Notamacropus eugenii: one gene and its partners. The protein of the gene in region 3 interacts with the protein of the main gene of each other region in a pairwise test. Links are inferred from orthologs where the notes say so. Each region holds a gene or a part of one and is shown on either strand. Other genes may lie near its edges.

Evidence for each region.
Region 1: the proteins of EFHC2 (region 3) and EDC3 interact in binary tests that used the Homo sapiens proteins (3 or more experiments, as listed by UniProt). The link is inferred for Notamacropus eugenii from reciprocal best matches to the Homo sapiens genes EFHC2 and EDC3.
Region 2: the proteins of EFHC2 (region 3) and CLIC3 interact in binary tests that used the Homo sapiens proteins (3 or more experiments, as listed by UniProt). The two-hybrid records come from large-scale screens. The link is inferred for Notamacropus eugenii from reciprocal best matches to the Homo sapiens genes EFHC2 and CLIC3.
Region 4: the proteins of EFHC2 (region 3) and TSSK3 interact in binary tests that used the Homo sapiens proteins (3 or more experiments, as listed by UniProt). The two-hybrid records come from large-scale screens. The link is inferred for Notamacropus eugenii from reciprocal best matches to the Homo sapiens genes EFHC2 and TSSK3.

The regions. Positions count from the first base shown.
Region 1 is NC_092872.1:241,459,063-241,466,783, forward strand, and holds the start of EDC3 (enhancer of mRNA-decapping protein 3), read left to right. Parts: upstream 1-4,694; 5' UTR 4,695-4,776; exon of another isoform or gene 4,777-4,780; intron 4,781-5,502; exon of another isoform or gene 5,503-7,721. UniProt on the Homo sapiens protein: Binds single-stranded RNA. Involved in the process of mRNA degradation and in the positive regulation of mRNA decapping. May play a role in spermiogenesis and oogenesis.
Region 2 is NC_092872.1:493,021,163-493,028,464, reverse strand, and holds the start of CLIC3 (chloride intracellular channel protein 3), read left to right. Parts: upstream 1-4,167; 5' UTR 4,168-4,300; coding exon 4,301-4,441; intron 4,442-5,345; coding exon 5,346-5,455; intron 5,456-5,615; coding exon 5,616-5,741; intron 5,742-6,664; coding exon 6,665-6,771; intron 6,772-7,302. Other genes in the region: ABCA2 (ATP-binding cassette sub-family A member 2), read left to right, coding at 1-186, 641-676. UniProt on the Homo sapiens protein: In the soluble state, catalyzes glutaredoxin-like thiol disulfide exchange reactions with reduced glutathione as electron donor.
Region 3 is NC_092876.1:429,907,959-429,915,317, forward strand, and holds the start of EFHC2 (EF-hand domain-containing family member C2), read left to right. Parts: upstream 1-4,233; 5' UTR 4,234-4,312; coding exon 4,313-4,354; intron 4,355-7,359. UniProt on the Homo sapiens protein: Microtubule inner protein (MIP) part of the dynein-decorated doublet microtubules (DMTs) in cilia axoneme, which is required for motile cilia beating.
Region 4 is NC_092876.1:77,515,285-77,522,650, reverse strand, and holds TSSK3 (testis-specific serine/threonine-protein kinase 3), read left to right. Parts: upstream 1-4,813; 5' UTR 4,814-4,924; coding exon 4,925-5,069; intron 5,070-6,151; coding exon 6,152-6,813; 3' UTR 6,814-6,866; downstream 6,867-7,366. Other genes in the region: protein FAM229A, read right to left, coding at 3,426-3,531, 3,835-3,981, 4,074-4,225. UniProt on the Homo sapiens protein: Serine/threonine protein kinase required for spermatid development and male fertility.

The DNA of each region.
Region 1 (7,721 bases), on a different chromosome or scaffold from region 3:
CAAGAAATCACCTGTGATATCACTGGTTGTCTTTGAAATGAAGGACAAACAATGACAACAAACAACCACCACAATCTCTGACTCATACCGTCTAGCTGATCCTAGCAAGCCAGTTATATTTCTATTGGTTCTGGCTACTCTCAAAGACTATAACTTGCTGACCGGTTGCTGTGTTAGTAGAAGGAATTCCTTCCCTAGGAATTTCCTTCACTAATGAAACTAAAGGTTTAGTCAAACACACACATACATACATAGAAAACAACCATATAAGGTACTAAATGAAAGTTCTCATTCTCAAAAGGCTTACTTTCTACTAAGTGTGTGTCTCTCTGTACGTGTATTGGGGGAAGCAGGTAGAACTTGTACAAAGGGACCTTCAAATGTCAGGTATGAGCAACAGAAAGAAGGCAGGTGAGCTTGATCTCAGAGCTCTGGAAGTGGGAGTAAGTTCAAGTAATCCAAGATGGCCCTTGAAAGAAGCTATTGTTTTGATGAGGTAGAGAGGTGAGGCAGAAGCAGATTCCAGGCAAGCAGAGTAGTCTGTGCAAAGGCAAGAGATACTGGAGGTGGAATATTGAGTTCAGGGACCTGAATGGGCCAGTTTGGCTCAGATAGAGCACGTGAAAGGAAGAAATATGAAACAAATCTAGAAAGGCACATAGCCTTTCAATGTCCACCATGACCAGAGACTTCGTATTTTATCCTAGGGATAACAGGGAGCCACTGATAGGTCTAAAGCTTGACAGTGATGTGGTCAGTCTTGGAGAACATGATGCTGCTCAAGCGCAAGACACAGGGATCAGGAGGCACTTGACCATTTGCAGTTTCTCTTTTCTGGTGGCTACAGGGAAAGGAGGAGTTGGCTTATGGAATGATATCTCATTCCCATTCCCTTTGCTTTATAACCTGATTTGGTTTTTTTTAATAGTTTTTTTTCCTAACTACATGTAAAAGCAATTTTTAACATTTTTTAAAATAAAATTTTGAGCTCTAAATTTTCTCCCTACTTCCCTATTCTCCCCCCTCCCTAAAATGGTAAGCAATTTGATATAGATTATATATGCAATCATGTAAAACCTATTTTCATATTAGTCATATTGTGAAAGAAGAAACAATCTGTAAAAAAGTACACACACACAAGTGAAAATAGTATGCTTCTATCTCCATAGTTCTTTCTCTGGATATGGATAGCATTTTCCTTCCTTAGTCCTTTGGAATTGTCTTGGATCATTGTATTGCCAAGAAGAGCTAAGTCCATCACAGTTGATCATTCCACAATGTTGCTCTTACTGTGTACAACGTTCTCCTGGTTTTGTTCACTTTACTCAGCATCAGTTCAAGTAAGTCTTTCCAGGTTTTTCTGAAATCTGCCTGCTCATCATTTCCTATAGCACAATAGTATTCCATTACATTCATATACCACAGCTTGTTCAGCCATTCCCCAATTGATGGAAATCCTCTGAATTTCCAATTCTTTGCCATCACAAAAAGGGCTGCTATACATTTGTAAACATGGATCCTTTTTCCATTTTTATCTCTTTGGGATACAGACCTGGAAGTGGTACTGCTGGGTCAAAGGGTATGCACAGTTTTATAGCCCTTGAAGCATAGTTCCAAAGTGCTCTTCAGAAAGACTGGATCAGTTCACAACTCCACCAATAGTGCATTAGTGTTCCTTTTTCCCCATGACCTTTCCAACATTCATCATTTTCCTTTTCTGTCATATTAGCCAATCTGATAGGTGTGAGGTAGTACCTCAGAACTGTTTTAATTTGCATTTCTCTAATAATGATTTACAGCATTTTTATAGGACTACAGCTTTGATTTCTTCATCTGAAAACTGCCTGTTCATATCCTTTGACCACTTATCAATTGGAGAATGACTTGTATTTCTATAAATTTGACTCAGTTCTCTATGTATTTCAGAAATGAGCCTTTTTTCAGAAACACTTGCTGTAAAAATTGTTTCCCAGCTTTCTGCTTTCCTTCTAATCTTGCTTGCATTGGTTTTGTGCAAAACTTTTTAAATTTAATATAATCAAAATTATCCATTTTACATCTTGGAATGCTTTCTATTTCTTGTTTGTTCATAAGACCTGACAGGTAAACTATTCCCAGCTCTCCTAAATTGCTTATGGCATCACTCTTTATATCTAAATCATGTACCCATTTTGCTGGTCCCTGTTTTTTGAACAGTGAACTATAACCACAGGGAACTGGGATAAAACTGGACATAGGTCAAGTTATCTGGAACACTTAGATTACAGACAACCAGGCTGATGCTTTGTCCAGTTGAGGTGCTAGTTAGGGTAAGATCACTGTTATGCAAGTTTTAATTACTAGTTTGCAGGACAGAGGCACATAAATCATTAGCATGGGAGACTCCCAAGTCTGCATGCAAGTCCCTAGGCCTGCCTGAGAACTAGGGACTTGGATTCTTCAGGATTCATGGAACTGTTTAAGCCCCAGGACAGGGGTAAAGCATAAGTCTGGGAGTATCATAGAAAAAGGTGTAGTGTTACCTAGCAGCTTGATCTGTCAGGGGGAATGGAAATCCCAGGTGGGAAAGAGGAGTGTGAAACTGATCAAAGCAGGAATATATCATCACTGCAAGGCAGACATCATACAGAATCCTTGGAGCTGGGAAGCCTCTGCGCATCAGCCATCTCAGACCTCTTTGACTCTCTTGGAAAGGGAATATGTGTCTCACTGTCTGGATTCTTCTTGGATATATTCAGAGATGGAAACTCCACACCTTTCCATTATTTGCTCAGTCTAGTGTTTGTTTTCTCTCAATGAAAACAATGTAACTTCCTCCAGTTTTAAGACAATTTTCACTTGTTAAGGCTTCTGTGTATACAAAGATATGACCATGGGTTCCTGAAAGTATCATTAATCAACAAACAAGACTTTATTAAGCTCCTACTGTGTGTCAGGAGAGGCAGTATGGTGTAGTGGAGAGAGAACCACCTCAAAGACAGGAACAACTGGGTTCCAATTCTGCCTCTGATATACACTGGAAAGACAAGATTAGGCAGAGTCTGTCTGAGAAAGATCTAAGGGTTTTGGTGAACTACAAGCTCAGTGTCAATGACCAGCAGGCTAGCACCCTGAATTATTGGAGGCAATGGAGCCAGGAGAGACTGTGTCTGCAGTACTGGCACCACAATATAGGATGGATGATAAGCCGAAGAGTGTCCTGACAAGGGTTCCTTTAAGGTGTAATGAATAAAGTAATAATAAATTTAATAATATAAATAAAAAAATAAAAGGATGGCCATTTGGCCAGCTCTCTTAGACCAAAGATCCCTCATGGTGGTAGGCTCACAGTTTACATGCCCTTTGAAGAATCAGTGTTCTTGAGGGGGTGCCTAATCAGCTCTGTTTGGTTAACACAATGGGAGGTATGGGCTATATTAAAATGAAAATCTTGGGGGTAAAAGTTCACTCAAATCTTGGTCAAAGATATATCAATTTCCATATCACCTGTCTTGATAATAGGGGGACTCAACCTTTCCCTAGATCTGTCAGAGCAAACACAGTGAGCAAAAATGCATCTATCAGCCCAAACTTAGAATTTCTTTTACTGTCTGATTAAATCTTGGCCTCGGTAAATCTCTAAGAGGGATTTCCCACACTGGTTGGTTTCTGGATGAGGAAGTAGAAAAGGGGAAAAACCCTGGTCCTAATATAATAATTAAATATGAGAAATATTAATTTCTCACAGTCATGCTACACGTTGTAATGTTGATCAGCTTTGAAAAAGTTGGCCACTCTGATCATTACAATGTTCCAAGACAATTCCAAAGAATTCATGAAGAAAAATACTAACTCCAGAAAGAGAACTGATGAACTCTGAGGCAAATTGAAGTATAATTTTCTTGCTTTCTTTTTTTTTCCTTTTGTGATAAGGCTCATATGGAAAGGTTTGCATGATTTCAAACATATAATTGATATCATGATTGTCCTCCCAGTGAGTGGTAGAGGAGGTGGGAGTGAGATAATTTGGAACTCAAATTTTTTTAAATGTTTAAAATAGTAAAATAAAATGTTTTTTAAAAAGGAAAATGCCATATGAGGATAGACCGAAGGAATTAGAAGTGCTTAGACTATAGAAGACTGGGGGTGGGGTAGGGAGTTTTGGAAAGGGCTATCTCAAGGAATAAGGATTTGACTTTTCTTTTCCCTAAAAGGCAGAACTAGAAGCAGGGCGTAAAAGTTGCAAAGAGGTATATTAAGGCAAATGTAAAGAAAAATTTCATCACCACTAGGACTATACATTATGTAAACACATATATAAACATTAGAGCTGTCACAAAGTGGAATGGGGTGCGGGGAGGGGGCTCTGTAGGGAATAGAGTTCATCCCATCACTCCTCAAGCCCAGGCTGGATTTGAACTCAGGACTCTGTTAGGTCTCGCCCAGCTCTATCCTCTTCCTCCCCCACATAGACCATCACGCTCATCACCGTTTCCACTGCTCTGGAAGCACTTTAGAGTCTCTCGTTTGGTTCCCACAACCACGCTAGGAGGTTACTGCGCCCATTTGGTAGATGAAGAAACACGAAGCACGTAGAAGATGGGGTCAACCGACCGGGAAGGTTTTGGGATCCACGCCGCTCGTCTAGCCCCGCCCCCGGCCCCGCCCCCGTAGCCCTCCCCGCTCCCGGCGGCCGTTGTCCCGGTTGCCCCGGCGACGCGGCGGATGTGACGGCATGACGTCGGCGTGGGGACGCTCGGGCACTTCCGGCCGACGGCGGGCGGCGGCGGCGCTGGGGTCTGTAAGTGTGTGGGGCGGTGCGGAGGCAGCGGCCTCCTCGGCTCGCTCTCTCTCCCGCCCTCCCTTCTTCCCTGCCCCTCGGGCTCCCCCCGCCTGGGCCCCAGGCCCGGCCCAGTCCGGCGCGGTGGCCGGACCTCAGGTGCGGGCAGGCCGCGCGAGAGCGACCGACCGTACTGAACCAAGCCCGCCTCCCTCCTGCCCGCGGGCCTCGGGGGACGGGGGGAGGGGCGCAGCACCCGAGGCTTGGGCTGCGAGGGGGGCGTCTTGCTGCGAGACCTGGGCGGGTGGCTGCTCCTCTACGACCGTCGGTGTCCTTATCTCCCCAGCGAGGGGCTCGAGTTTCTCTCTGTGGCCCCTCCTTCCAGCCCTAGCCGCCCGTGGCCCCGTGGGCTGAGCAGGGGTGCTTGCGGGGGGGCCCGGAGGCTGGAATGGGAGCCAGAGATCCCCAAGGGCCCTGGGGTTCCCAACCCTGAACCACGCACTCCTTTCGGAAGGGATAGGTCCTTGCACCCATGCCGGGCGAGGACCGAGGAGGGGAGAAGTTACTCGTGAAATTCCTAACACCTGGGGCGGGGTGGGGAAGGGGCTGGGCCCGCTCCATGTGGACACCCCTCCCCCCCAAACAGTTTCCCTGCTCCCTTCCTGACGTGGTACTGATGAAGCATCTCCAAAGTTTTGCTCAGATCTGAGATTCTTGTTTGACTCCATAGTGGTTGGGTGTGTTATTCCATATTATCCTCTCACTCGTGAAATAGTTTATTCCTAAATTATGAAAGATATGATTCCAGCTTTCTTAGGAAATTTATTGTAGAATTAAAGGGATGACTAAACTGGACACTTTATTTGATCGTGGTGACTGATATTCACACCAGAGTTTGTATTTGACAGGGGCCAGTTAATTTTTCATTAGCTCTGCCTTATTCCACAGCGATGTACTGCACCACTAGCTGACTAGCTGTCTTTTATATGCACATTAATCAGAGCCTGTTGTCACTATTATGAAATTAAGTCATTCCTGTTTTATGAAGTGTGGCTTTAAGCATTGTTAGTTAGCTCCTTAATAGAGGTTTTCTCAGTTTGAAGTGAAAATGAGGTTTCATTTTTTGGGGGGGAGGGAGGAGCTGTAACTATGACCCTTTACATTTTGGGAGGACTGTGTGGCTTAAAGTAGGCAGGTCACTTAAACTCTCTGAAATCTTTGATCTGCAAAATTCAGGGAGTTGAACTACATGATTTCTACAGTCTTTTCCATTTCTAAAGCATCTGGGTCTATCAAAGGCAGATAGCAGCTCATTGTAATGAAGGATTTCCTAATAACCAGCTGTCCAGCAGTGGATTATGAGATAATTTTTACAGTTTGCGAATCCGTGAAACTGAAAGTAATGACATTCAGGATGTTATCTTTCTCTTCTTAGCTAGAGAAACAGATTTCCAGATGAGTGGAAAATACATGATTTTTCCAAAGAAGACCACTATGTGCTACATATTATATATACAGGAGCAAGTCTCTGTTTGGTCTCTATATAGTCCTTGGTAGTCCAAGATGGTGCAGCTAATTATGCTGCTGTTTGTGTAGACCTGAAGTGCCTAGTATGTTCGAGACAATAAAACAATCTCTCCCCTCAAGCTTATGTTCTATCTTCCAGCTTGTACACAGATAAGTGTAGAGGAAAATTGAGGAGGCAAAGAAATCCAGGGAGCAAAGGCATCATGGAAGGCTTCATGAGGAACTGGCGCATTAACTAAGTCTTGGAGAATGCCAAATTCTGAGGCAATGAATGCACAGAAGAGAGAAGGGATCAAGTGAAGGGAGCAACACTAGTTTGGCTAGAATGTAGAGTTCTTGAAAGGGTTTGTACAAAATAAAGCTGAGAAGGCTGGATGGGAGCAAGACTGTGGAGGGTATAAATGCCTGGCCAGAAGTTTGTGCTTTTGCCTATGGGCACTAGGAACCCCTAAGGTTTTTGAGCATGAAAGACACATGGTCAGATATTTGTCCTAGTTGTGATGAAGAAGCAGCAAATTTGTGACTTGTATATTTTTTCTGTGTGGACTACACAAGTATCATGGATCTCTACCCTCAGGTCCTGTCCTGCCTCCAGTTTGCAGGTTCTGTTATTGTTTATAACATAGCATCATTTCTGAAATTACTTAAGCTAAAAAGTAGGATTATGACTGTTGAGTACTTTGTAGTCTTTGAAGTTGTGTTTTAGATTGGAAAGGAATGTGACTACTTTAAAATAAACAAAGTATTCCATGTGCTTTGTTTTGTTTCATTAGTGGATACAGTACTGAAAGACTCAGGATATGATTTCTTCCCATGTCTAGTTTCTACTCAGATCCCTTCTGTCAGTATTGATTTTGTGTCTCTAGAACCTATCTATCCCAGGAGTACAGATTGCCCCTTGCAAGGTCTATGATAGACTGATGGCCTCCACTTGTTTACAAGGGGTGAATACAGCTACCATGTAGAGTGAAGTCCATATCCACTTAATAGTACTTTATACCAAGTAACAAGGCTCTGGTTTTTCTGTTTCCCACCTCCAGGTTTGCTCATCTTTTTTCCCTTCCTTGGAATTTGAGCCTCCTCCCAAGTTGGCTTAGTCTTTGAGCTGAAATCCAGCTACCTACTGTATCCCTTCAACCTTTTATGACTCCTGGCATTCACAGGGTTCTTTCCTCTTGATTCCTAGATCATGTATAGTTAATACCATTTATATGATACATGTCCTACAGCAAGTGCCCAGGGTGGTAGTGATTTGTGTGTGTCCTATCTCCTCAATGAGAGTGTTTAGATTGGGGTAGCATCAACAGTGGCTGAAATCGTACCTGGAGTATGATTTGGAAGTAGGGGCCAGACGGCCAGTTAGAAGGCATTTCTGTCACTGTGGAATGGAGCAGAGAGGGGCTCACTAAGCATTTGCTGAAACAAGGAAGGTAGT
Region 2 (7,302 bases), on a different chromosome or scaffold from region 3:
AAGCAAAGTGATAACTTGGAGCCCCAAGAGACAGAGCCAGGTTGTGCACTGCAGTCCCCGCTGGCTCGGCTGCTCAGTCTGCTCCGACCCCGTCCTGCACCCACAGAGCTCCGTGCTCTGGTAACAGATGAACCGGAGGACCTCGATACGGATGATGAGGGGCTTATCAGTTTCGAGGAGGAGAGGGTGAGGCTTGGGCTTTTTGGCAAGTGTGCCGTGGGTGGGGTTCACATTGCTATGGGCACTCTAACCCCCAGAGTCTGGGGCTCAGGGCCAAGGGCAGAATCTAGTAGTTACTATAGTAACAGCCCCTTGAGGCCTCTCCCTCCCTATCTTCTCTTCTGCCTGATGCATTCAATCCACCTAGAGACAGAGATGGTGAAAGGGACAGAGGGACAGAGACCCAGGGATAGAGAATGATAGAGAGGCTAAGAGAGATCCAAAGTCATAGCTTAAATCATGTTCAAAAACAGAGGTCTTTGGACTCCAAGATCAAGGGAGACAGAGATAGAGAATGAGAGACAAATAGGCTGATTTGATGACAATTTAACAGAAAGTGACAGAGGAGGAAGTGAGAGGGAAAGACTCAAATCAAGCCTGGAAGTCTGACCATCCGAACCCTGTTGTCTCTTCCCAACAGGCCCAGCTTTCTTTCAATACAGACACTCTCTGCTGAAGGAACTTCAGAGGCCTCAGCTCTCCATTCCTGGATAACCAACTTTCTTGTCCCCTTATGCTCAAACCTCCTTAGAGCAGCCCTACCTTCCCTGGCCTGTTTTGGCTGGGACAGAGATTCAATGCCAGACAATTGGGAGGGAGGTCTTAGCATTGCCTACCCACCCAGCTCCCCCACCCAGGAGGGTTGGGAGAAGGAATTGGTGATATATCGTGCAACTTGAATTCAGTGCCTGGAACTTGGAGCTAGTTTTAGAGGGCGGTAGAGTTGGGGAGATTGGTGGGTGTGGACAGTGCCAAGAGCTAGGCACAAGAACCCACCCCAGGATCCTAAAGGAGCTTTGGAGGGTGGGGAAAAGGCTTGGATCTGATAGCAAGGGCAGTTCTTCACTCTGGTAGACCTCAGATTTAGAGATGGGGAATCTTCTAACTACATTATAGCCCAGGTACCCCAATCTGGAGTGAATACTAAAAACCATACCCACTCTTTCCCCTTCTCTGGCCCAGCCAGTGCCCCTCCAGGACCAACCTGCCTGGTGATCTTCAGGATCTCCAACCAATGATTGTGCCAAAGGGACAGTCCTGCTGTGCCCCAGGGTGTGGGCTGGGCACTCATGTGGCTCTGCCTTACAGTCACAGCAGCTCTGGCCAGTTACTCTGCTCACTTCCCTGGACTCTGATAGTCCTATCCCTGATCTCAGCCTGGCCTGCTTGGCTCTGCTTCTGATGGTCAGTGCCACTCATCTCGCGTGTGGTTAGAATCCCCACTGGCACTGATGGCCACAAAAAGACTGAACTTTGACAGCCCAGGAAATATACCTGGAGGTTAACATGAAGGCTTGAAAAACGTGAAAGCTGTGTGGAGGAAGAGGGGCATGAGTCTCCTCTGTGGTCTTAACCCTCTAGAACATGATCCTGATGGACCTGTGTAACACAATACTTTCTTGGCTCATCAGGCATCTGGGTAGGAGGGGTGTGTGGTGTGTGTGTGTGTGTGCGTGTGTGTGTGTGTGTGTGTGTGTATGTGCGCACACGCTGGGGTTATGGACAGATAACTGCTTTCCCCCTAAATTCGACTCTTCTGCCCCCTGGATTTTAATAACACCTCTGCTAATGCTGCCATAGCTGCCATGCCGCCACCACCCAGAGGCTCCAGTGCTGGATACCAAATGGGCTGCCCGCTAGCCTGCCCAACCACCATGGCCCAAGTCATTGACTCTGGCCAGGGTTAAGTGGGATGTTGGGTTTGTTGTTTTCTTTTTAACCTATTTATTTTGCAATAGGAAGAAGCACTTGTCAGGGGTGGGGAAGATGGAGGGAAAGTGTGTACACAGATGGTAGAATGACACATTGGCAGCTTGGATACAACTGTAGGGGAAATAAAAGGAGGGGAACTCCCCTTTCCAAGGCTGAAAGCAGCATTCTCTGCATCCTTCAGTTCCTGTTCCTTTACAGGGCCTGTGCACCCAGGAACCCTGAAGGCTGTGGGCAAAGGAAGAGGGTGGAAGGACCTGGTGTCTAAAGAGCTTGACCTTTGCCTCTGAATGGCCTCCAATCACCTTTTGTTACATTAGGGACGGGGGAGGGAGAGGCTTGGTAATGGCATGGACAGTGTGGGGGTCACATGGGCCCCACTCCTTCCTGAGAGCAAACTGCCATGGCCACTTCCCAGCTATTTGCCCATCCCTTCCCCTCCTCATCCCATCCCTAGCCCTGCCTGAGGGCAGGTGAGGGACTGGGCTTGTACATAGTTGGGGAAGCAGATCGGGAAAGATGTTTGTTTTAAATAAAAAGGGAAAATATCAAATCAGTCAAAGATGCTGCTCTGTGTGTGTGTGTGCGTGTGTGTGTGTGTGTGTGTGTGTGTGTGTGTGTGTGTGTGTGTGTGTAGGAGTGGGAGCTGGAGAAATCAGTTCCTGGGGAGGTTAAGAACACAGAACCCTTCTGTGTGTGGGAGGATGGACAACTGGAGATGGAGGATGAAAGTCCCAAATCCAAGAGTTGATCCGACTTCCCCTCTGCCCACCCCACTATGAGCATGCCAGGAATGTACCTGCCACACCTCAGAGGAGGGGCCCCACCTAAGGCAGGCCTGACCCCGGGAAGACTGGACACCACAGAAAGGCAGCTTTTTGGAGGAGTGCCTGCTTGGGATGAGAGGCAGTGAGGGAAGTCTGACTTTCCAAGTCCTTGCCAATTCCCACTCTGGGTGTTCAGATTGAGTTGGGGGGAAGGTAGTTGAGGGCTGCCCTGACTCCGCTTTCTTCCATTCTCTCTCTCTCTCTGGTCCTAGAAATGGAATAGGGTCACCTACTCATCACTCCCAAAGCGCTGAGCCTTTTCACCTCTTGTACCTGTACCTGCCACCACTCACCCCGATCCCCCTTACAAAGTCAGTGACCCAGTCACAGGCACACTCTCCACCTCCCAGCAATGACACGCAGTCTCTCAAGGCCCCACCCGCCCGGTGCTGGAATTGCAGAATTGGTCTCCTTTCTTTGCCCGCTGGCTGGTAGCCACCAGCCCAGGTCCCAGTCCCTTGCGTGCTCTTTACAGTAGCCATAGACTCGAAGTCACCCTGGAATCCCACAACTGGGCAATCTCGCCCCCCCCTTCCCGGGCTCACAATCCTCCCCCACAGGGTCAGGCACCCGGTCTTACACAGACTCTAGCACACTGAGCTGCTCTTCTGGGCGGGGTAGGGTAGGGCGGAGCAACCCGGGAGCTTTAAAGAGCCCAAAACACAGTCTCCACCCAGGGCGGCTGCTTCTATCCTGCCGGACACCATGGCCCAGAACCCGCAGCTGCAGCTGTTTGTCAAGGTGCCGGGGACCCATCCCAGGGAGGAGGGGAAGCGGGATCGGGGGTGGGGGGTCGGAGGGAGAAGGAAACAGTGTCCAGGGAACAGGGGTGTGAGTGAGACTCCAGGAGGGCTGTCTGAATGTGGGAACTGTAGTTTTCTGTCCCGATTCGAAACAGAGCTGGGAGGGGGGGGTAGGGGTAGAAAAGAAGGGAGGTGTTGTGGTGGTTTGAAAACGGAAATGAATGCTTTGAGAGAGTTTTAAGAAGGTTGAGATGAGGAGGATGAAGGTCAGGGAGAGGGATCTGGGAACAGAGGACAGTGGGAACTACTTTCTGCCAGGTGCAGAGTCTTTGGAAGGAGTGGCTGAGTCTCCCCGCCTCCCACCATCTCCCTATTCCTTCTCCACTTTTCTACCCCCTTCCCTCTTTTCCTCCCCAAAGAAATCAGAGTGGACCCTGACAAGCTGTGGGGTAATGGAAAGAGAGCCTCCAGGGAGTCCACAGTCGGGTAGATAACCATGATCCCAGAAGTCTGAGGCTCCAGTCTCTCCCAATAGACAGGGCAGCCCCACAAATGACCAACTTTCACATCCAGAGCACTGGTTCTCTAGCCTAGGGTTCAAAGTAGCTTGTCCAGGACATCGGGGTTTGGCTAGAATTAGGATGGTGGATGGGATCGAAGGGAAGGAGAAAACTGGGAGAAGGACTTGGGAGCAGATGCATTGGAGACTGTTTCTGCCAAAGGCAGGATTAAAACCAAGTGGTATCAGCTTTTTGAAGAGAGATACTTTGTCCCCATAGCCACACACCTTCTGAGAAAAAAATGAGTGAAAGAAGACGACAGAACCCAGGAGTCTGGATCTCAGTTCTATCTACCCCCCATGGGGGGACCTTGATCAGGACCCTGGCTCAAACTCCTGTCCAACTCTCACTGCCTCCAGGGCACAATTATCCTTCTGACTGGGTAAAGCAGCAGGACTAATACTCTATATATAGGAAGAAGCCTTCCTGCTAGATACCCAGACCAAGGCTGTGGCCTTCACCAGGGGTGGGTGGGAGTATTCTGTGATGGTTGGCACAAAGAAGATGCCACATGGATTTGTGTCCACCCTGTACCCAAGATAAAGGAATTATGCTACAGCAGGTGATCCTAGAAGGTGTCCACCATCACTTGCAGACCCTGGCATGAACTTCAGGGCAGGGTAGACACAACAGAGGATAGGGACAAGGTGGAATGCAGGAGTACCACATCCTCAGAATCTGGGCCAAGCATCCTAGGTTGAAGGCTCCTGCTTCTAGGCTTTACTCCACTGTGGGCATCAGTGGGCGTGCTCTTCCCATAATGTTCCACTGGCAGTGCCCAATGCCATAAGGTGAATCATTGAAAAAACAGTTTGGTCAGAGTTGGACTGGGCCCCACCCTGTACAGCCCGTCTGCCTGGTGACACTGAGATGATGCCCAGGGGCCTACAGTTGATGGGGAAACAGCATGTGCCCATTTCCTTGGTGTCAGTGTTGTGTCCCCCCCTGGGGTGTGGCCCTTTCCCTGGCGCCATGACAGCCCATGTGGGCACAGTGCCAGGCTCCAAGTCGCACAGACTGTTATTCTTCCTACCCCTTAAGGGCTCTCACCTCCCCCTTGAAAGAAGCCCCACCCAGCCCTGTTGATTTTGAGAGGCTGTCCTCACCCCTGAACCTCTTTTAAAAGATGTGGGTGAGGGGCACTGCTTAGGCCTGGAAACATGTCCCCTGCCAATGGCCAGAGTTGACCTGGTTTCCTGCATTCTCTCTCACCAAACTGGATACAAATCTTGCCACCCTTTTCCTCTCCCGGAGGCTTATGTAAATTCTCTTCTGCCTCCCCCTAGGCCAGTGAAGATGGTGAGAGTGTAGGGAACTGTCCCTCCTGCCACCGGCTCTTCATGATCCTGCTGCTCAAAGGTGTCCCCTTCACTCTCACCACTGTGGACACCAAGAGGTAAAGACTGAGTGACTGACTAGAACTGGGGGTGAGGAAAACTATACCCCACCTTTCCCACCATCTTAGCCTGTTTCTACCTGAGGCTACCTGTCCTGTGTCCTGGTCCCCATCATGCTCACTTTCCCTGTGCCAAAGATTTGGCCCTACCCCATTACAGGTCCTTGGATGTGCTGAAGGACTTTGCCCCTGGCTCCCAGCTGCCCATTCTGCTGTGTGATGGGGAAGCCAAGACAGATACCATCCAGATTGAAGAGTTCCTGGAAGAGGCATTGGGGCCACCCACGTAAGAGTCCAAGTGGTGGGTATGAGGGCACAGCCAGGAAGCAGGATCAATGAGCAATGGAGCAGCTGTCAGAGAGGGTTAGAGCTGGATATATCTAACTGATCATATAGTCTGACTCACTTCTGTTACAGAGAAGTAAAGCAGGGGTCAGCAAGAAGAAGAGACTTACCCGAGGTCACGTGGGTGGTTAGTGGAAGAATCTGAATTTGAATTCAGGTCCCCTGTACTCTTCGCTTTATAGTAAAGTGCTGCTTTCTATTTATTACCCCAATTCTGGTTCCTCTTCCCATTCAGATCTACTCTCAGGGAGGGATCTGATCATATTTTTTCCAAGGCAGATTCTTTACTGAGGACAGCATTGAGTCACTGTCTAATCATACCAATGAGGGTCTTGTCCTTTAATAAAGGACAAATCCTGTAGTCATGGAAGATAGCTCTATTCCTCTTGGGGAATCCCAAGGGGGGAGTCATAGGCATTGGCAGCAGGTGAAGGAGGTATGTTTTGGAGAGGTGAAGGGGAGATTTCCCATGCTCTCCCATGTCTAAAAGGGAAGTCTGAATGGGAAAATAGAAATTGCTTGTTGGATGACCCCAACCAGGACCGGGGATGAGGGGCAATTCTTATCTTTCCCACAAGTCTGTTTTCTCTAGTTTTCCTCTGCGGCTGAAGGGAAGGGCAGGGTAAGGGAATAATTATTTATATAGCACCTACTATATATCAGGCAACATGCTAAGTGATTTAAAAATAACTTAGGCAGCATAAAGAGAGGAGGGGAGTATATTTGAGGTTTGATAACAGGGGGATGCTGATGGGAGAAAGGGAGGGAGAACACCACCACCACCACCAGGTGAAAGTGCTTATGGCCCCAGGAAGGAGCCATGGGGTCTCCCATTTGTTTCTTGACACTGTCTTCATCCTTCAGCTACCCTAGCCTGGTTCCTCTCTATAAGGAATCTAACATAGCCGGTAACGATGTCTTCCACAAGTTCTCAGCTTTCATCAAAAACACGTGTCCTGCTCAGGATGAAGGTGAGTCTTCAGGCTGGGCAGATTGTGCCCTGGGGTGGATAGGCTGTTCCCAGGTGGGTCACGATGTGTCCTGGGGGAGGGGAGTGTGAAGGTGAGTTCGTCGAATTCAATTCACCAACATTTAAGTGCTTGTCACTGCCTTTGCCGAAAGTATGGTGTACTAGGATATTGGACACATATGCAGGCCTACTTCTACATAATAAACGTATTAAAGAGAAGCAGAACAAAGTTCTGTGAGACCCTTGACTCAGGAGTATCAGGAAAGGCTTCTTCATGGCGAAAGTGCCATTTGAGCTGGGCTTGAGGGATAGATAGGATGTCTGATGAGGAAGGAAGAGAATCCAGCCACAAGAAACATTGAGAAAGGGCAGAGGTGGGAGGGCATGTCAGGTTTTGGGGAGGCAGCATAGATCCCTTTGGAGTATAATGTGTGGAGGTGAGGAATGAGATAAGACAGGGAAGGTAGAGATTTGCCAGGTTTTGGAAGACCTTGAATGCCAGAGAGAAGAGAATGATCTTTAATCGGGATGC
Region 3 (7,359 bases):
ACAAGTGAATTATATCAAATATTTAAAGAACAATTAATTCCAATGCTATATAAACTATTTAGAAAAATCAGCAAAGAAGGAATCCTATCAAATTCTTTTTACAGCAGAAAGATGATACTGATACCTAAACCAGGAAGGGCAAAAACAGAGAAAGAAAACTATAGACCAATTTTCCTAAGGAATATTGATGTAAAAATTTTAAATAAAATACTAGAAAGCAGATTATAGCATTATATCACAACATATCATTATGAGCAAGCAGGATTTATACCAGAAATGCAGGAGTGGTTCAATATTAGGAAAATGATCAGTGTAATTGACCGTATCAATAACAAAACCAACAAAGATCATATGATTATCTCTATAGATGCAGAAAAACCTTTTGATAAATACAATACTCATTCTTATTAAAAACACTAGGAAGCACAGGAATAGATGGAGTTTAGATTAAAATGAAAATTAGTGTCTAAAATCATCAGTAAGTATTATTTATAACAGGGATTAAGTTAGAAGTCTTCTCTGAAAATCAGGAGTGAAGCAAGGATGCCTAGTATCAGCATTGTTATTCGTTACTGTTACAGAAATGCTAGCTATAGCAATAAGAGAAGAAAAAGAAATTGAAGGAATAGAAACAGACAATGGGGAAACAAAAGTATACCTCTTTGCAGATAATGTGATGGCAAACTTAGAAAGTCCTAGTGAATTAATAATAAAAAAACTAGTTGAAACAATGAACAACTTTACCAAAGTAGCAGGATATAAAATAAACTCATATAAGTCATCAGCATTTCTATATATTACCAACAAAGTCCAGCAGCAAGACATAGAAAGAGAAATTCCAATTAAAATAATTATAGGCAATATAAAATACTTGGGAGTCTGCCTGACAAGACAAACTCAGGGATTGTAAGAACACAATGACAAAATACTTTTTACACAAATAGAGCCAGATATAAACAAGAAAAATATTAATTGCTTGAGTAGGTTGAGTCAATATAAAAAATGACAATTCTACCTAAATTCATTCACTTATTCAGCTGCATGCCAATCAAGCTACCAAAAACTATTTAATAGAGCTAGAAAAAATAATTGCAAAATGCATCTGGAAGAACAAAATGTCAGGAATATTAAGGTATTTTAATGAAAATAAATGGAGGACAGCCTAGCCATGCTAGATCTGAAACTGTATTGCAAAGAAGTAATTATCAAAACAATATGATACTGATTGAGAAATAGACTGGTGGATCAGTGGAATAGACTAGGTACACAATACACAGTAGTAAATGACCATAGGAATCTAATGTTTGATAAATGCAAAGATCCAAGCTTTGGGGAGAAAAACTCACTATTTGGAAAAAAAAACACTGTTGGGAAGACTGGAAAGAAGTTTGACAGAAAGTAGGTAAAGAATGACATTTAATGCTGTCCATAGGTCCCCAAAGTGGGCAATACTGTCCCCTGAATCCAGAGGGAGGTATTTTTTGAAATGATGAAAATTTAAAAACAATAGTAGGAAAAACTCAACAAACCATGAAAGGATTAAAGAAAGTAGATTGCCAGGGGGGCACTTTGTAATTTTTTTTTGAAAGACCAAGTAACTTTGGGAACTTCTGTACCAAGATAAGATCAAAATGTGTACATGAGTTAGACATGAAGGTGATACCATAAGCAAATGAGAGGAGCATGGAATGGTTTCCTGTTAGATCTATGGATAAAGAAAGAATTATATTACCTATCAAGAGATAGAGAATATTACAGGATGTAAAATGGATACTTTAGATTATATTAAATTAAAAGCTTTTTTGTGCAAATGAAACCAATGTAGTCAAGATTAGAAGGAAAGCAAAAAAAAATATTTTTATAGCAATTTTCTCTGATAAAGGCCTCATCTCTCACATATAAGAGAAATGAGTCAAATATTTAAGAATAAAAGTCATTCCTCAACTGATAAATGGCAGAAGGTGGTATGTGAACAGGCAGTTTTCAAATGAAGAAATCAAAGCTATTTTTAGTCATGTGAAAAAATTCTCTAAATCACTACTGATTAGAGGAATGCACATTAGAACAGCTCTGAGGTATTGAGTAATACCTGTCAGATCGGCTAATTTGAGAGAAAAGAAAAATGACAAATGTTGGAGGGGATGTGGAAAAATTGGGACACTAATGAACTCTTGGTGCAGTCATGAGCTGATCCAACCATTCTGTAGAGTAATTTGGTATTACACTCAAAGGACTATAACACTGTGCATACCTTTTGACTCAGCAATACCACTTCTAGGTCTATATCCCAAAGAGATTTATTTTATAAGGACCTCTATGTATCAAAATACAGTCCCTCTTATTGTGATGGCAAAGAATTGGAAATTGAGGGTATGCGTATCAATTGGAGAATGGCTGAAGAAGTTGTGGTAGAGAATTTTGATGGAATACCATTGAACCATATGAAATTGTGAGCAAGATGCTTTCAGCAAAACCTGGAAAGATTTACATTAATTGGTACTAAATGAAGTGAGCAGAAACAAGAGAACACTGTGCACACTAACAGCAATATTGCATGATGAACAACAGTGAATGACTTAGCTATTCTCAGCTATACAATGATCCAAGACAATTCCAAAGAATTTATGATGAAAAAATGCTATTTACCTCTGGAGAAAGAACTGATGAGGTCTGAAGACAGATTTAAGTATACTTAAAAAATATTTTTTATATTTTTCTTGTTTTTTTCGGAGGGAAAGAGAAGCTGTGTTTTCTTTCACAACATGATTAATATGGAAATATCTTTTGCATGTATATATGTAACCTATATCAAATTGCTCACCTTTTCAGTGAGGGTTGAGGGTATGGTGGGAGAGAATTTGGAACTCAATATTTTAAAAAATGAATGTTAAAAATTTTTACACAAAATTGAAAAAATATTTTTTATAAAAGGTAGAAAGTGGGAGCAAAGAGGTCAGTTTGACTGGAAGACAGAGGGCATAAAGGAGAGTAATGGACAACAAGGTAGAAAAGTACCTAGAAAAGTAGATGGGAGTAAGATTATAAATGGCTATCAATACCAGTGTACAAGTTATTTTATCTTAGAGGCAACGGGGGGAATTAGAATTCTTTGCACAGGAGAGTAACATGATTATATTCCTGGTTTAGGATACTTTGGCCAATGTGTGGATGGTGAATTGGAGAAGGTGGAGACTTGAGATCAATCAGGGGGCAATTAAAATAATCCAGGTGAAAGGTAATGATGGATTCCATATGGTAATGACCATATGGAAGGAGAGAAAGGGAACACAAGATCATAGGACTTGGCAACTGATTGGATATAGGAGGAGGGGGAAGGTCTGCGAAGGGTCAAAGATGATTCTGAACTAATTTAGAAAGAAGGGTGGTTTGAGGAGAAAGATAAATTCTGTATAGGACATTTTGAGTTTGAGCAGTCTGTGAGAGCTCCAGTAGGAAGAATCCAATAGAGATAGTTGGGACTGGAACTCCAAAGTGACCACGAGTGGATTTATTAAATATGTAGCAGTTTTGTGTAGATGAAACATGATATTCCTGTGATCACAGGACGCAGGTCTGTGCAAGTACAAGTTGGGAATCTTCCTACACGTTTGTGTGAGTCGAGTCAGTCAATAAAAACTCTATTATGTATCAAGTACTGCACTCAATGCCCTAGATACGTTGTAAGAGATACCTTTTACAAGGTAAAAGACTATCCATGCTCTCCAGCTCACAGTCTAATGGAAAAAGACGATATGCAAACAGCTATGTACAATCAAGCTATCTCCAGGATAAAATGGAGAAAATTAATAGAAAAGCGTCAACAAGCATCTACTAAGAGCCAAGAGCTTATATTATAGAGCATAGGTGGGTGGATAGAAAGCCTGGATGCGTTCGCATGTTTAGGAGGAATACTGTTGCTGGAATGAGTAAGATAAGATAATAATGGCAATAAATGAACTCTACAATTACAACAGACATTGACACATCATGTGATACATAGTAACATTTACACATTTTAAGGTTTACAAAGAGCACATCTGTATGGCTTCATTTGCAAACATGGAGAAGGGACACACAGCTGGGAAAGTCAGTGCGGAGTGAACTTTGGAAGGCTGGCATGGGTCAGAAGGGCACGAATCCCTCCGAGCCCTGCCCATGTCCGGGAGTCAGGGACCAATCTCCCCAAAGAGGCCACGCCCCCTTCAGCCCGGTGACGTCAGAGGCGGTCTCTAGGCAACGGGACGCTAAGCACTCTCTGCCTCCGGGGGAGCCTCTCGGCAGCGTCCTCTCGGCCCTGCCCGGACCCCGCACCATGTCCCTTCCGCTGCTGCCGGGATATACCTTCAACAAGAACGTGAGTAAAGCTGGCTGGGGAAGAAGGGGCACAGGCCCGGCTGGGCATGCTGCGGAGAGGAGCCGGGCACTGGAGGGCACCCACGCCGGCGACGACCGCGGGCTTCCTGCAGCTGCTCCTTAACGCCCACCCCCAGGAGCGGTTTAATGCTCCGGGGGACACCCACCCCGAGCTGCCCTGCCGCCGCCCCGCTCTTCGGAGCGGGCGCACTGCCAGCCGAGTGCGTGGGCAGAGGGGCGTGTTGGCTGGTTTTGGTTGTTTGAATATCTCTCAGTTTCTCTCCTTGTGTCTCACAACGCCGCAGCGCCCCCAGGGCAGAGGGAACCAACGTGATTTAGGTGTGTAATGCGACGTGGTGAGAGAAAGTCAGCAGGGGCACACGTAAAGCCTACCGCCACCCTTGTGTTGGTGGGCTCGCCCCATGCCCGAGCAGCCCTGCCCCCCACCTCTCTGTGCCATCTGTGCAAGTCACGGCTGTATACATTAACATAAGAGGAATGAAAAAGTACTTTGTCCTCCTTCCTTCCTTCCTTCCTTCCTTCCTTCCTTCCTTCCTTCCTTCCTTCCTTCCTTCCTTCCTTCCTTCCTTCTCTCCTTCCTTCCTTCTTTCCTTCCTTCCTTCCTTCCTTCCTTCCTTCCTTCCTTCCTTCCTTCCTTCCTTCCTTCCTTCCTTCCTTCCTTCCTTCCTTCCTTCTCTCCTTCCTTCCTTCTTTCCTTCCTTCCCTCCTTCCTTCCTCTTTCCCTTTCTCCATCTCTTCCTCTCTTTCCTTCCCCTTTCTCCCTCCCTTCCTCCCATTCTCCCTTTCTCCCATCCTTCCTTCCTTTCTTCCTTCCCTCCTTTCCTTCCTTCTTTTTTCCTTCATTCTTTCTTCCCTCCTTTCCTCTTCCCCTTTCTTCCTTCCTCCACCTTCCCTTTCTCCTGTTCTTCCTACTATCCTCCTTTTCTCCCATCCATCCATCCTTACTTTCTTCCTTCCTCTTTCCCTTTCTCCTTCTCTTCTTCTTTTCCCTTCCCTTTTCTCCCTTTCTCTCACCTTCCTTTTCTCCCATCCTTCCTGTTTTCTTTCCTCCCTTCCTCCCATCCTCCTTTTCTCCCATCTTTCCTCCCTTCTTTTCTTCATTTCCTCCTTCCTTTTTTCCTTCCTTTTTTCCTCTCTCCCTTCTTTTTTCCTTCTTCCCTCTTTCCCTTTTGCCCTCTCCTCTTTTTCCTTCCCCTTTATCCCTTCCTCTACCCTCCTTTCCTCCCATTCTTCCTTTCTTCCGTTTTCCCTTTCTCCCTCCCTTCCTCTTTCTCTTTCTTCCTCTCCTCTTTTTCTTTCCCCTTCCTTCTTCCTTCCTTCCTTCCTTCCTTCCTTCCTTCCTTCCTTCCTTCCTTCCTTCCTTCCTTCCTCTTTTCCTTGGTCTCCCTCTCCCTATCTCACCTCTCCTCTCTTCTTTTTCTTTCCTCTCTCCTTTCCCTTTCTCCCCTTTCCCACTCTTCCCTCCCCTCTGCCTCCCTATCTTCTCCCTGCTCTTTTCCATCCTCTTCCTCCTCTCTTCCCTTCCATCTCCCTTTTTTCTTTCTTATCCTCTATCCTTTTTATTTTTCCTCCACAGAAGAGTTTGTTCTTGAACTTTTTCTTCTGGTAATGGTCAACCATCTAGTAACAGAAAAAAAGGCACGTATAAGCTACTTTATAAAAAACTTATGTTAGAAAGGTTTCATCTTGAAACATTCAGATTTATGGTTTATGGACAGTGTGTTGTACCCCCTGGGTAGACTAATATTGTTAAATATTTGCCTTTACGCACATATCTGGTTCTGTCCTTTGTAATCCATTATCTTCTTGGATCCTCTGTGTATATAAAATGACATCCTGAAAACTTCATGGGCCTTCATTTCAGTCTAATTAATTAAAACATCTATTTCAATAATAAAAGACCAGAGCATGAAAAAAGATCTTGGGTCTAAAATGTCATTGTGATAAAAATGGACAACACCATCCTCCAAAGATAATAACATGAAGTTATTTTAGGGGTCCTCTAGGCCTAGTCTAGCATTTACAGATGTTATAATATGTGGAAAGGGAAAGTGTTGTGGGTCAAGATGAAATTTTTTTTTTAATCTGAAAGCCTGTAGTAAATTTGATTTTTTAAAAGACATTTCAGTTATTAACTTTTTGCTTGAGGCCAGCAGGATTTTATTGTGGGACTTGGAAATGGAAGGTTACTTGTCCAATAGTTCGGGGAATGAATCATTCCAAATAGTTAGACAGTCAGTAAACATTTATTAAGTACATACTTCTTATGTTCCAGGCACTGTGCTAAGTGCTGGGGATACACAAAGAGGAAAAAGGCAGTCCCTGCCTTTAAGGAGTTCACAATCTAACATTTTTGTTGTGTGTTCACTATTTCAATGTAATTGAATTTTCGTCTTTCTGTCCTGTTATTAAGTGTACTGCTGTGTACTTCTTTATATTTTTGGTAATATTTATAAAATTCATATTTTGGATAAAGACACTGTGACTTAGTAGAGAGAATATTGAACTTGGAATCAGGATACCTGGTTCCTACCTCCAATGCTTATTAGCTAGTATGACGAGCCTGATTTTTCTCATCTGTAAAACAGGGGAAAATAACACACTAAATATGAATTATTAAGGTGTGGAAGTAAGCCTTCCACATATAATGGCCAGTAGATTAAGCCTCTTGATTATTATCAGTAAATGAAAACCTTTGTCCTCTTTCTTGTAGCATCATTACCTTGCTCTATGGGTATAAAATTAGGACCAATGCCAATATGTAAAGTTTATTGTTTTTAGGGAGAGGAGAGTGTTTTGTAAAAATCTTGTGATTTCATCAGTGTGAGGAATGCCCTTCACAGCTGATCTAGCATGGTGCAGTGGGAAGAGGGCTGAGCCTTGAGCTGTGGGACCGAGTCTAGACCTCAGCTTCCTCCTCCCCTCGTATTTTTCCAGAGATTTCTGGAGCAATGAGAAATGAACTGCCTAAAGTCACACAGGTAG
Region 4 (7,366 bases), about 350 Mb from region 3:
TGGCTCTCTATCGCCCCACTGTGGTCACAGACGGATATTTCTCCCCTCCTAGGTTTCTCTCCCCTACTCCTATGAGGACTTCCAAATGTCTTGCCCTGTTTTTGGAACAGATAACCCCACACCTCAATCCTGGGAAACAGAGGGGAAAGGCTAAAGGACAGAAGAGTTCATTTGAACCTAGGGCAAGATGAAAAGAAAGGAGAGAAACACAGAGAGTGAGATATCAGAAAAAGGGGGAAGATGGAGACGAGGGAAAAGGAGAATGGAGAAGAGGTAGAAGAGATGGGAGGAGACAGGGGAGGAGGAAAAGAGGAGGAGAAGGGAAGTTCCTTAGGGCAGGGATTGTTTTTGTCTCTGAATCTCCATTGCCCAGGACATACTATATACAAGAAGGAAGGACTTGGAAGAGAAGATGGGAATGGAAAAGGGAGAGAAGAAATAGGCAAGATGAGAAAATAGAAAAGGGGGAGAAAAGTTGAAAGGAGGTAGAATGAAGAGAGAAAAAGTCACAGAACCTCATAGCAGAAAGGGACCTTAGAAGTGATCAAGCCAAACCTTTATTTAAAGAGGAATCCCCCTTTTGACACCTCTAACAAAGGATGATTCAGACTTTAAAGATATCTCCCTCTAGAAGGGGAAATCATCCCTCCCAAGGCATCCCATTTCGTTTTTTTGTCATCACCCTCCCTCCCCCATTATAACCATCTCTCTCATCTCCCCTGTCCACTGAAGAAAAACAAAACCCTTGTAACAAATATTAATAATTGAGCAAAACCAATTCCCACATTAGACATGCTTCAACACTGGTCTTCTAGAATGTGGAATCATGGTTGGCCATCAGAGTTCTTTAGTCTTTCAAAGTTACTTGTCTTTACAACGTTGTTATTACTGGATACATTGTTCTCTCAGTTCCATTCATTTCACTCTGCATCAGTTCAAACAGGTCTTACCAGGTATCTCTGAAACCTTCCCCTTTATAATTTCTCCAACAGGCAGGCACACATTTCCAGTTCTTTGCCACGCCAAAAATTACTGCTATAAATATTTTTGCATAGAAGCTTATTTTATTTGGGGGATAGTTCTAATTGTTACGATTGTATTGAGTGGAGATACCTACATGATTTATAACTTTGCAATTTCCATCTACTCATCTCAAATCTGCCTCAAGAGAGCCCTTCAAATACTTGGAAGACATTTATGTCTTCCATTGCTCTTCTCATATCTTGGTATGACACTGGGAAAGTTTTAACTTCTCTAAGCTTTATTTTCCTGATTAATAAAATGAGGATAGTATTTACATCAGAAGATTGTTTTAAGGATCAAATGAGTCTAAAGAACCTTATAAACTTTGAAGTATTAGATAAATCTAAGCTCTTACTGTTATCATTACCTGTAACATTGATTTTTTGAACCTAAGTGTAGAACTTTGCATTCATCTCATTGTCACAACCATCATTTTTTAAAAGTCACAACTAAATTAATGCCAGTTACATTGCTTTACATGAAAAACTTACAATGATTTCTCAATGTATACTCCCCACTTTTTGATACAAGTATGACTGCCCAGTGTTCTAACTTGTCAATATATTTTTGGATCATGCTTCTGTCATCCAGTGGGTTGTTTTGTGCCCTCTGAAAATGTGATAAACATGAAATCTATGCCTTTATCTGGATCATTAAAATATAAAGGAGCACAGGCTGAAGCAGACTCCTTACTCTACTAGACAGTCACGAGAGAACTTCCTATTGATGTTAAAATGGTTTGATGTCAAATCATTGGTGGCCGCTCTATTCAACCAGTTCCAAATTGATCTAATCATATTACCATCTAGTCCACAAGGACTTTGCCAAATGCTGTGCTATTTATCCAGAGCATTCTTCTGATCCTACCAGTTCAATAGCTCTGGTCAGAAAGGGAAATGTGGTGAGTCAGGTCATCATTGTAGTGTGGTTCTTTGTAATGCCTGACCACTTCCTTTTCTAGGTGAACAGGTTCTAGAATTTTACTAAGAATCAAAATCAAGTTCAGTGGCCTATAGTTTGGAGGTTTCATTATCCATTCAACTATTTCAAAAAATACTGTCAAAATATAGGTCCTTAACCCTGCTCATAGTTTCAAGGACCTATTGAAATACCACCTAGAAGTTTTCCCTCATCTCTTCCTTCCTTTCCTCTTTCCCCTAGCTGTATGTGCTCTCTTTTTCTTCCCCAGAGTACAGAGTCTCATCTTTCTTCAGATAGAGGCAGGACCTTTAAAGTCCTTTCCAAGTCTGGACTTTGAGTCTGAGTCATCCCCTTTTCCTGGGATTTATTCCATCTGAGACAACAGGGTCTGATTCCTGTGTCCCCCAGAGCACAAAGAACTAGATGGAAAGGAAAGGAAAGGAGGAAGGGAAAGGAAAGGAGACCACAGGGAGTAGGATCACAGAGTTTTGAGTGGGAAGGAATCTTAGAGGTCTCATTTGACAAGAGAGGAAACTGAAGTTCAGAGGTGTGGGGAGGAAAACCAGAATGGAGGGAAATAAGAGAAAAAGGGAGTGAAAAAAAACTTTTAGAGGGAGGAAAGGAAAAAAGAGAAAAGACTGTCATCTACTTTGTCTGCTTTATTTCATACTCCCTTTCAGTTATCTTCCCACTGACTGGTTCCTGGGCATCTCCCTCCCTCCAGACTATGTCCCAGGCTTGGCATCCTATAACTTTTTGGTCTCAGGCCCCTCCTACACTCTTAAAAACTATTGTGGGCCTTTCCTCCCACCTCAGCTTTTGTTTATGTGGGTTAGAGTTATCAATATTTACCTTTTTGAGAAATTAAGTTTTAGTATGATTATGAAAATAGTTTTGTCTCTTGGACTCATCAAAGCGTCTCAGAGACCCTAAGGACATCCCCGCCCTACTATATTTGAGAACCCCTATTCTAAGGGGGAGGAGTTGGGTGCTTCCTCTGTTAGGGAGCCTTCTGCGATAATGCCCCTTCGTTGCCAGCACTCTCTCCTCCCTCCAGTTGTCCAGGACTTGCTTCTTCAGGGCACTTTCAATGTGGTCCCTCGTGCCCATCCCGCCTTGGTTGGCAAGCTCCTTTAGGGACCGTTTCACACATTTGCCCCGGCTGGGTACAAAGCCCTGCACGCAGCGAGTGGCTACTGTAAAGGCTTGGTGAGCTGCATCGCCTGGCATTGCCTGGCATTGCCCTGAATTTCGGGGGAGGGCGGCCGGGCTGAAGGACAGACGGACAGACGCACACACACACGCAGCCAGCCCGGATTGTAAAGAACAGTGTAAGCTGTGCTTTTATTAAAATGTGCATCATTCTTTTATTTTAAAATGTGCATCATTGTCTCGTGCTCGGCGCGCGCGACCTCAGCGCGGTGTCCCCGCGGCCGGCCCCGCCCCTGCCCGGCCCCCTCGGAGCCGTCGCGCAGGCGCACTCAGGTGGCGCGGGCCCGGGGGCTTCCGCCCATTGCCAGGTAGACGTCGATGGGCACGTGCAGCAGCGTCAGGCAGTGGCAGCCAGGGCAGCGTCGCAGTGGCCTGCTGGGGAGGGAGGCGAAGGGGGGAGGGGGCGCACAAGTTGGGGGTTAGAACCTCCCGGCCCAGGCAGAGGTCCAGTACGGCTGCACTTGGAGTCGGGAGCTCCCAGTTCGAATCCCGGTCCTATGCCTGGCCCTTCCCTGGGTCTCAGTTTTCACACTTGCCAAATAGGGACGGGGCACGGGTGACACCTGAATGCTTTCCCCCTCCCCCCCAGCTCTAAGTCCTATGCCGGGATGGCCCGGGGAGGGGGCGAGAAGGAAGACACGGGTCGGACCGCGCCCTGGGCGCCCCTCTAGCCCTCACCTGACCGGGGTGTGCTCTGTAGCAACGGGCTCCGCGCTGTCCTGGGGCTCGGGGGTTGCGGCCAGGCCGGGGGAGTCTCCGGCCTCAATGGGGAATCTCCGACCTTGCGGGGGCTCCTGGGCGCTCATGTCCGGGCCCCGGGAAGCTCTGCGGGGAGCAAGGCTGCGCTCAGCTCCAGCCCCGGACCTCCGTCCCCGGCCCCGCGCTCGTCCCCGCCCGCTCCGGCCTGGGATCCTCACCTGCTGGAGGCCGGAGCCGGTCCCAGGCGGGAAACAGCTGCCCGAGCCCTGGCCGCGGGAGGACGCTCTGGTCCAGGGGTAGCCGGGCAGGTGTCTGGGGCAGCGGGGCGGGGCGCGCGGCGGGACCGGGCCGTCGAGGGCGCGGGCTGCATTGTGACCCACGGGGCGGGCGCGCTGACCTCACAGTGGCGGGGGGCCGCGGCCCGCCCCGGGCCCGTTCCTCCGGGCGGGGAACCCTCACTGCTCGGGCGGGACTGCGCGGGTCGGGCCGCCACTTCGGGCGGGCCCCGGCGGGTCGTGGCGGGAGGGCCGCGGGGCCCCGGGGGCGGCCGGCCCGGGACTGTGCACGCTGCGGGGGCGCCGGGCGGCGTCCAGGTCGGGCATAGACGTTCCCGCGGCGCGGGTCGGCGCGGCCGGACTCCGCTCGGTCTCGGCCCCGCTGGACGGCGGCAGCCCGCGATCTTGCTCTTGCAGGCGCCCACCGAGGCACGGGCTGGCCCAGCCGCAGCTCTCCGCTGGCCGGGCGATGGTGACAATGCCAGGGCCGAGGGGCGGGCGAGGGGGGCACTGCCCATTTTGGTAGCCGGGGCAGCACCGCCCCCCCCACCCCCGGGTCACTTGTGCCACATCAGTTTACATCACAATCGGGGCCCGAGTTTAAAACTGTCCGGCCCCCGCCCCCTCCCCCACCCGCGGCTGTGTCCGGACGGAGAATGTTCTAGCGCTGGGGGCGGCTGCGGATGAAGTCCTGGGGGGGAGAGGCGCGGGCCGACGGCGATGGTGGAGTAGAGCTGCCTCGCAGAGGCAGGATGAGCTGAGGCGGTGACGGGGAAGGAAGGAGGAGAGACAGCATGGAGGACTTTCTGCTCTCCAATGGATACCAGCTGGGCAAGACCATTGGGGAAGGGACCTATTCAAAAGTGAAGGAAGCATTTTCCAAAAAACATCAAAGAAAAGTGGCAGTTAAAATTATAGACAAGATGGGAGGGCCAGAAGGTGAGAACGGGCCTTCTCTCCTTCACCTGAGCCTGTCGGAGCACCCCCCACCTTGGAGAGCGGGCGAGGGGAGGGGGGCCCCGCACTCTGATCCTCCAGCCTGGGCAGGGATGGGAGGGGGCGGCCCCCTCTTCTGGGGAGGAGGAAGGACGTGCACAAAATTGGAGGAGGGCAGCCTGGGGAGCTGGCTCCTTTCCTACAGCTCTTCTGCTCATGCACGTGTTGGCCGGAGGCTCCGGCGTTATGGACGTTGCAACTTGGCTCTTCCAAGGTGGCAGCTCCCCTCGCTCCTTGGTGCATCCCATCAGGTGTGTCGAGATCATGGCCAAGGGGCCCTGTGCTCTAAAGGGTCCTAGAAGCAGAGGTACCCTCAGCCCGAGGAGGGGGAGGAGGACAAGGCCAGCTTAATGGAAAACAATGGGACTGGGCACTTGGTCCTGAAGCAACGATAAGCGATAGTGTGTGTATAACCTTGGGTTTGGTCTACTGTCTCCTTCAAGTTTCCCCATCTATGAAATTGGGCTAATGCCACCACTTTACATTTATATAGGACCTTGCGGTCGGGTTCTAAAGTGCTTTCCAGGGCCAAGGTCCCTCCAGGCTGATCCTCCTAACCACCTTGTAAGGTAGGAAGTGCAGGCACTCATAGAGATGGACCCCCCCTCTTGATTTTACTGATGAGAAACAGACTCCCAGAGAGGGGAAGTAGTTTGTCAAGCCACACAGCTAGTTCTAGGGAAGAGTTGGGACTACTGCAGGACTATCTGCTCCATGCTGCTTTCCTGGAGGCATAAAATGGGAGTTGCAAGAAGCTCCCATTTTGTTGATTAAGAAATTTGCGCCTTAGAGAGGCTGTGTAACTCCTAGGTCCTCCCCACTGATGTACACGTGAGAGGACTTTGGAAAGCTGAAGCAGTGGTTGAACCAGGGGAAGGCCAGCTATGAAGAGAGCCCATCTCTAGGCCAAGCACAGTATGAAGTTGGGGCGGCAGCACCACAGGGATTGCATGTCCATGTCCTGTGTGTTTCACTGTCTGATCGTGCTGCTGCCCCTTTACTTTCTTCTCTCTCGTTTCCCACAGAATTTATCCAGAGGTTCCTGCCGCGCGAGCTCCAGATCGTCCGCAGCCTGGATCATAAGAACATCATCCAGGTGTATGAGATGCTGGAGTCGGCCGACGGTAAGACCTACTTGGTGATGGAGCTGGCTGAGGGGGGAGATGTCTTTGACTGCGTGCTGCACGGTGGGCCTCTGCCAGAGAGCCGGGCCAAGGCCCTCTTCCGCCAGCTGGTGGAGGCCATCCGCTATTGCCACGGCTGTGGCGTGGCCCACCGAGACCTGAAATGTGAGAATGCCCTGCTGCAGGGCTACAACCTGAAGCTGACTGACTTCGGCTTTGCCAAGGTACTGCCCAAGACACGGCGGGAGCTGAGCCAGACCTTCTGTGGCAGCACAGCTTACGCTGCCCCAGAGGTGCTGCAGGGCATCCCCCACGACAGCAAAAAGGGCGATGTCTGGAGCATGGGCGTGGTCCTCTATGTCATGCTGTGCGCCAGCCTGCCCTTCGATGACACAGATATCCCCAAGATGCTGTGGCAGCAGCAGAAGGGGGTGTCCTTCCCCGGGCACCTGGGCATCTCGGCTGAATGCCAGGACCTGCTCAAGAGGCTCCTAGAACCAGACATGATCCTCCGGCCTTCAATCGAAGAAGTTAGTTGGCATCCATGGCTAGCAAACACTTGATAAAAGCAATAGCAAGTCCTCCCCAATAAAGCAGGGGAGAAAGAAAACCCAAAGTCTGCTTCTGAAATGGTGATGTATATTTTACACTTTACACTTGCCTACCCTATAAACTCGTCCCCCCTCCCCTTTCTCTTTTCCCTTAAAAGACCTTCATGGAACCAAGGGCTTCATTCAGACTTCCCATTTATCATGCCTGATGGGAATTTTTATACAACAGGTGTTTAACTAAAGTAAATTAAAATAGACCCCAGAAGCACACACCTGGGGGAGGAGGAGGAGAAAAGTTACCAGGAGAACTATGGGATCTACACCGCTGTTGCAACTTCCTTTCCAAATAAAAGCAGAAGCATTGGGAATAATGCCGAAAAGGCCTCGACTCCTTGTCTCAGTGAGGGCCAGGCGTCTGCCTCGTGGGCAGCATGTCCAATGGGCCCTTTCCAGGTGTCTGCCTCTTGGGCCCTTTCATGCAGGGTCCCCATGCCAGGGTACTGAATTGCCCCAAAACTGAGTGCAAGGGGTGACAGGGACTCTGCTCCAACCACAATGCCCATAC